2 linked regions of the Drosophila melanogaster genome follow. Changing the gene in region 1 together with any one later gene gives a genetic interaction. Each region holds a gene or a part of one and is shown in the gene's direction. Other genes may lie near its edges.

Region 1 (3,757 bases):
AAAAAATGTTATATAAATTATGATAAAATATTATATACATAAGACAATTTAAATATATATTTGGAAATGTTATGTACTTTAAAAATTCAAAATTTATGAACATAAAATCTTTACCAAATAAAAATTAATTTATATAAATAAAGAAATCAATAATTAGTGACAATAATTCTTCTGGTTCTGCTTGTGATGCAAGCGTACTAAGAAGTCAGTTACTTTCCTTTTAATTTTTATATTTAATATTTATATTCCTTTAACAAATAAAATAAAAAGTAACTACATATTTTCTTAAGTTGCGTGCGATGCAAAGTCAGTTCCTTTCCTGTTAACTTTACTGGTTTTATTTATCATAAAGTTGAGAGCAACTGGTTTTGACACTATCGATGGAAAAGTACTATCGATAGCTATCACCATTCGCCTCGAAAAACAACAACAATGCTACTTTTGTCGCCCATCGCTATTAAAACCTACAATCAATATGAAATGCAAGTAAACGTTGAAAACAGCAACAAATCAAGCTAAATAATAGTAGTGACTTTACTAATGCATTCGCACCGGTAAAATACATTTTGAAATAGTAAAAATTGTGCGAAAGCGACGTGGAAAGCCGTTTCAAAAGGCCAGGTACAAAAACATACGCACACAAGCGTAGACCGTGAGACGGGCAGGCACCCACACGCACACACATATGTAACCCGTCTTTTCCATGACAAAGTGAAATAGAAGAATCGTTAAGAAAATAAAGAAAGCAACAAAGTGAAAATAGAAGCATTGGCTCGATAACGTCTAGCAATTGAATGCACTTCCCTGGGACGTATATTTATCGATCATCGGTTGGAAGTGCGTGCGAAAACAACGGTTCTTGTATTAATTGCACGTATATGTACATAACAATTATATTGTCGCCGTGTGAGTTTTTTTCACCGTTTCTTTTACGCGGAGAGATCGGATGGGCCAGCGAATCAATGTACATGCACATATATCCGATATCTGCGATATAGGCGGCGACAAAGGAAGTGACGACGCAGTACGGCGGATTGGTATCCCGGGACATATCCGCAATTGCAAACTATTCGCGAATAAAACCAGCCGCTTCCCCAAATAGACATACACACACGGGCATATATATACATATGTACGTACACACGTCTGCTTGTGTACATCGCGCTTGACACCCTAACATTTGCGTGGAATGTTTGCACAAATATACGAAACCAGAATGCTCATCTCGGCACCACCCTACGCGGATTGTAGCGTAAACATGCTGGGAGATCTGTGATAGAACTAATCCATTCACCTCTCCTTATCTTTCAGGATAAACCAAGGATAACCCAGGTTAACTGTGTTCTTGTTGTGTTAACCATTGATTGCCGCCGAGGAAAGCAGGTTCCGTCATCGGAAAAGTCGGAGAAGCACCTGCTCTTCTTGCAGCTCCCTGCTCCGGAGTCCGAACCGCCAATAAAGTGGAGGAGCAGTGCCGACGCTTGCAAAGCATGAATCTGCGGGGAAATCCTCCCAAGAAGGAGGGCAAAATGCGCATTCGGGCCTTTCCGGTAAGAACCCACATTGGAGCATCGTTAAAACCACGATACACACTCTTAATCGTGTAATATTGCTAAGAGCGAACTAATATGAGATTATCTATTATCTGACAACCCGGAACTAATACAAGTTTAAACCACAAACTGTAAAAACATTTTCATTTTAAGCTCAAATCCAAGAAATCACTATGAAGAAAGAGCTTGCTGTCCACAGCAAGTTGTATAATCCCAGATTATGCCATTTCTTTGGTTCAAAAAACAATGATCTTCAAATTTTTAAGATTAAGCGTTTGAAAAGGTTGAGTGCAATTTGCAAACGAATTTAAAAAACGAGATATACTCATTTGAAAAGCCCCTTACTCGCTTTGCAGTTGAGATGAGAGTTGCAGCGAAAAATCTGTCGATCGCATCATGAACTTGCAAAATGTTTCGATAAGATAATGCCATTTGCGGGTATTAAGAGTTAGATAATTTTTATAAAACAATTAGCAAATTCACCGGTTAGGCGACACCAAACATTTCTCCCCACAAAATGTCAGGCGACATGAAAAGCAAACACCAAAAATCAAAAACAAATAAAAACATCAAAACACCAACCGGGGCCAGGGGAATTTTCAACACACATTTTAGTTTTTAAGTTACAACGAATTCAATCGTAGTTTTCGAGAAATTATTGTTGACCAACAACACACACAAAAAGACTGTGAACACCTGTATGTGGAGAGCAGGGTGAAGGGCGAGACCCGAATCGCGAGTAGAACTCTGGCCGGAGTACGGAGCACAGAGGAGGAGGAGGAGCAGCGGACCAGGTGTAGCAGAACCGCGCGGCGGATGTGACATTGAAGCTATCATCATTAAGTCGTTAAACCAAAGTCGGTCTCGCCAGGCACCGGCTTCAGCAGCGGGCTATTATCCAGCCCCTCGCTCTCTGGCACTCAGCGAGGAAGAGAGGAGCCACTACCGGGACAGGACGTGTGAGCTGGACCAGCGTAGCAATCTCATGCAAGGCCGCGATCCCCGCCAACAGCAGCCGGAGCCACTGAACAACCTCAACGCCAACGGCCGCTACCACAATCGCATGGTGGCCGGCTCCAACAACTTCAATGGCGCAACTGTCGGTAATGTGGACTCTGCCGTGCCTTGCCGGATTGCAAGGCAAAACGTTCTTGGACAGCAGGCGCGAAGCATGAACATCAATGTGCCCAACGCCTCCTCAATGCAGCAACACCAGCAGTCCCAAAATCGATTGTCCGCTCAGGGATTAGCTTCTGCCTCGCGGCGGAGTTATCACCTTGCCGCCAGCGGTGGCAGAGTTCGGGCTGATAACAGAATTAATACTAACCACCCGCTCACGCCGACGCCACTTTCCATGCCAGTTCCAGCTCCTGCTGCTCCAGCTGTCGTTAAAACTGAAACTAGTGCAACCACCTCTGGGCCATCAACCTCAGCTTCAGCGAGCGCAGAAAGTACAGAAAAACGCTTTAAGGAAATAGCACGGAAGTACCCACTCTGGCTACCGGAGTACAAGCGAAGGGCATTCAATGTTAGCCTACCATCTGATAAAAACCAAACAGGGATTTCAACTTTTAGTTAACTTACTAACAAGCGAAAGTCTTAATATCCCTCTTACACTCTTATGCATTTATAAGTTTTAATCCCTGAGAAATAAGTTCTTGACTATCCAAATTAATAATCTTATATTTCTCTTCCAGGCCTCCATGGACGAGAAGTACGTGGAGACCATTTGGGCCAGCTTAAAGAATGCTATCCAGGAGATACAGAAAAAGAACAACTCCGGACTATCGTTTGAACAACTCTACCGGAATGCGTACAACATGGTGCTGCATAAGCACGGCAATAGACTGTATTACGGTCTGAGGGAGGTCGTCTCAGAACACCTGGAGCACAAGGTGCGGGCGGATGTGCTGGAGGCTCTGCACAGCAATTTCCTACCCAAGTTAAACCAGGCCTGGACAGACCACCAGACATCTATGGTGATGATCCGCGACATACTCATGTACATGGATAGAGTTTATGTGCAGCAGCGCGAGGTAGACAATGTGTACAATTTGGGATTAATTTTGTTCAGGGATCAGGTAGGAATATCTTTATTGCATTTATTCCGTTGGAAATATATTTATCGCTTTTTCCATTACCAGGTGGTTCGCTATTCTGAGATTCAAAAGGCCCTGCGAGAGAAGTTGCTGGGCATGGTGATG
Region 2 (3,757 bases), on another chromosome or scaffold:
GGTATTACAGGAACTCAAGAAAATCACCACAATTGTGGCTGACACCGGCGACTTTGAAGGTAAGTACGCACGCAAGGTATTTTTCTTAACAAGATGAGTCCGATTTCAAAGCTAGCGTAAGTTTGCCTCAAAAGTGGGAATCCAGAAATGCAACTAAAGCGAAATGCGAGTCTGAGCTCGAACATCCATACATATATAGAGCATACATAGAATCCGAGTCCAAAGATACATAGGATACATGGATTTATCCAAAAGATAAACATTAACGACGGGCCATCGGATCCGTCGTGTCTGCCGCAGTGAAGATCAAATAAAAGTGAAAAGCAAATCCGAGCTGACTTTAGTTTGACCTTTGGTGCTTACGTGTGTTAGAAATGTGACCGCTATAGTAAAGTGTACTATAGAATGCCACCAGAGATAAGGTTTCGGAGCAGAGTGCCAAACCTGCTCAGACATTTGAAAAGTTCAAAGATATTTTCGGTCGGGCGATTGAAAAATGAAAGTCGCTCAACAGGTTTCGAGGTCTTTCTAAAATTCGCAATGTAATTTGGCCCCGCACTTATGCAAATACTTTACACATTGCTTCCAGCCATCAACATCTATAAGCCCACGGATGCCACCACTAATCCCTCCCTCATCTTGTCCGCTTCGTCCATGGAGCGGTACCAGCCGCTGGTCCAAAAGGCGGTGGAATACGCCAAGGGCAAGAAGGGGTAAGCAGTTCACTTGGGTGTTTGCCACACAAAGCTACATAGAATACCATCGTTTGCAGCTCCGTGAGTGAGCAGGTGGCCGAGGCCATGGACTACCTGTGCGTGCTGTTCGGAACGGAAATCCTGAAGGTTGTGCCCGGTCGCGTTTCCACCGAGATCGATGCCCGCTTGTCCTTCGACACCAAGAAGAGCGTGGAGAAGGCCCTGAAGCTGATCGCCCTGTACAAATCCCTGGGCGTCGACAAGGAGCGAATTCTGATCAAGCTGGCGTCCACCTGGGAGGGCATCAAGGCGGCCGAGATCCTGGAGAACGAGCACGGTGTGCACTGCAACCTGACGCTCCTTTTCTCGTTCGCACAGGCCGTGGCTTGCGCCGAGGCCGGCGTGACCCTCATCTCCCCGTTCGTGGGCCGCATCCTGGACTGGTACGTGGCCAACACGGATACCAAGAAGTTCGAGGCGCTCAAGGACCCGGGCGTGATCTCCGTGACGAACATCTACAACTACTACAAGAAGTTCGGCTACAAGACCCTGGTCATGGGCGCCTCCTTCCGTAACGTGGGCGAAATCAAGGCCCTGGCTGGCTGCGATCTGCTTACCATCAGCCCAGCGCTGCTTAAGGAGCTGGAGAACGAGACCGAGTCGGTGGTCACCTACCTGTCCGTAAGCAACGCCAAGCTGCAGGACATCGAGAAGATCACCGTCGATGAGAGCCGGTTCCGCTGGCTGCTCAACGAGGACGCCATGGCCACCGACAAACTTTCCGAGGGCATCAGGAAGTTCGCCGTGGATACTGTTAAGCTGGAGAATTTGATTAAGACCTATCTTAAGTAGATGTTCCTCTGGGTCCGCTAGCAGGTGGAGGATGAATACATTCGTTTTTGAAAAAGACAATGATTTTATACTTTAATAAACACTACAATTAAAAGAGATGACAAGATTCAGTTGGGAGTTATGGAAATTATTAAATGGGTGAATAGGTTTGGCATGCAAATAGCATGATTACTCGTTGCAGATATGGATACGAATAATAAATACTAAAAGTTTACAAAATAAATAAAATTTGCAAATTATATCACAGATAAAGATACTTTTTTTTTGATACCTTATCATAACAACTTCAAACATGTTTTCTACACGCCCGTGTAGAATATCTATGTAAGCCTGTAGAGACGGCTGCTTATGTAAAGTATCGGACGGGTGTTTCTGGATTTCGCTATTCTACATAGCTCGGGATACTTTATTTTATTATTAATATTCGCTAAAATAGCACATCGTCATTTGGCATAGATGTTTTTGGCCCAGTAACATATCTATCTACATCACCGCCCGCACTATCCGATAGGCAGACTGACTATCGATAAAAGTATCTACTTCGTTGCATCCCTAGGTTGATACATAAAATAAAAAATATATAAAAAGTGAGTTAGTACTGGTATTAAAAGTAATTTTTAAGCTACAAATTGATGAATTGCGAGCACACAGAGACTAAGAACATTGGGAATCCGGAAAACAGTGGCTGGCGCGTCGGGTGCGATAGAATTGCCTGTTTTTCAGACCCCAAAAGTCGCTCCCAACCGAGTCGTGCACCTATAGTCTTGGCCCGAAGTTGCTCCCATGAATAAAAATGTTCGGTAATTTCACGGTAAACAATAACCATTGTCGAACGCAGGGAATAGTCGCGTTCGCACACGTAATTGCCATCGCGCAGAGATGTGATTCGCCCCTGCAGCCCCTCGATCTCGACCGACCTCCCGATTTTCGGACGTCCTGCGTCCTGCGACCTGCGACCTGCGTCCCATGTCCTTAAACCTGAAATCAGTGAAAAATCGTTCGCGCATGAATATCCAAAATACAATCCCATCCATCGAATTCAATCCATTCGAATCCAAACCAATCCAAGCAGATGCGTTGCGATGCGATTCCATTCCATTCGATTCGATTCGATCCGATTCGCGATGGTATAGGTATAATATAGTTTTTCTAACCAAGTGTCAAAGAAATGGCAAATATTTCGGATTCGGAGGCACGGAGCACTACGTATTGATATATGTACATACATTTATTTATGTACATCCATCCATTCACACATGCGAACCGAGAACTTGTGTATATATCTAAATACATACGCACGTATATACGAGTAGATACACAACGGTGTGTACTCATATCTGTGAGATATATATGTGCCCGTGTCCGTGTCCGTGCCCGCTTAGATCCCGATTCCGATGCCGATGAATTTATGTACATATATTTACATTAAAATCTGCATATCTGCCATATCTGGCATATCTGCCACCACCCCCTCCGCCTATATAGGTATATGTGTAGGGTATAGTACGTTCATCTTCCTGCGACTCCCGTCGGTCGGCAATAATTGCTAGATTAAATACTCTTAATATTCGCGTGCCTACACTCATCCGTAAACCCACATACGAGCTAATCGAATCCGAATCCGCGTATCGGACCCATCCATTCCATTCGAGCCTCAACTGCAGATGGAATTATGTTGGGTTGGTATCTCTATATACATGCGTACCTGCTGCCCAGTATGCGCGAGAGTGCCACCCTCTCCGCCCCCTTCTTCACCTGTTACACTACGCCGATGTTGTGGATGTCGATGTGAATGAGAATGTGAATATGGCTGTGAATATGGATGTGAATATGAATGTGATGAATTCCAATCGTCCGACGCGAATGTCCAACGCGAATGAACGCGCGTTGCGTGGAGTAATTTTTGATTTTGATTTTCATTCCGATTCCGATGCTATGCGAGCGCTTTTGGGACCCGAAACCCAGTGACTCACGGGACTTTCGTGGGCGGCAATGTCAGCGGCGTCGCCTTGGCTTAGTAGGCACCCATTTTGGTCGCTACACTCGCGCGTACGCGGATGATATGGGGGCACTGAAGTGGATTCGGGATTCTATGCAATCGAAATGGGTTTCTGCTGGAGAATCTCAGTTAGTGGGAATAGAAAGCTCGAGGATCGTTAGTTCTGAAAGTTCTGTTACTCATTTTTCCATCTACTATACCATTGTACGAA

What was found. Genes that interact genetically often act in the same process or in processes that back each other up.
Region 2: of Cul3 (region 1) and Galphas, changing one suppresses a phenotype caused by changing the other (phenotypic suppression), as found in Drosophila melanogaster (one study listed by BioGRID).

The regions. Positions count from the first base shown.
Region 1 is NT_033779.5:15,268,698-15,272,454, reverse strand, and holds the start of Cul3 (cullin 3), read left to right. Parts: upstream 1-2,130; 5' UTR 2,131-2,538; coding exon 2,539-3,081; intron 3,082-3,250; coding exon 3,251-3,634; intron 3,635-3,697; coding exon 3,698-3,757.
Region 2 is NT_033778.4:23,940,468-23,944,224, forward strand, and holds the start of Galphas (G protein alpha subunit s), read left to right. Parts: upstream 1-2,070; 5' UTR 2,071-2,134; exon of another isoform or gene 2,135-2,347; intron 2,348-3,509; exon of another isoform or gene 3,510-3,757. Other genes in the region: Taldo (transaldolase), read left to right, coding at 1-59, 590-713, 773-1,547.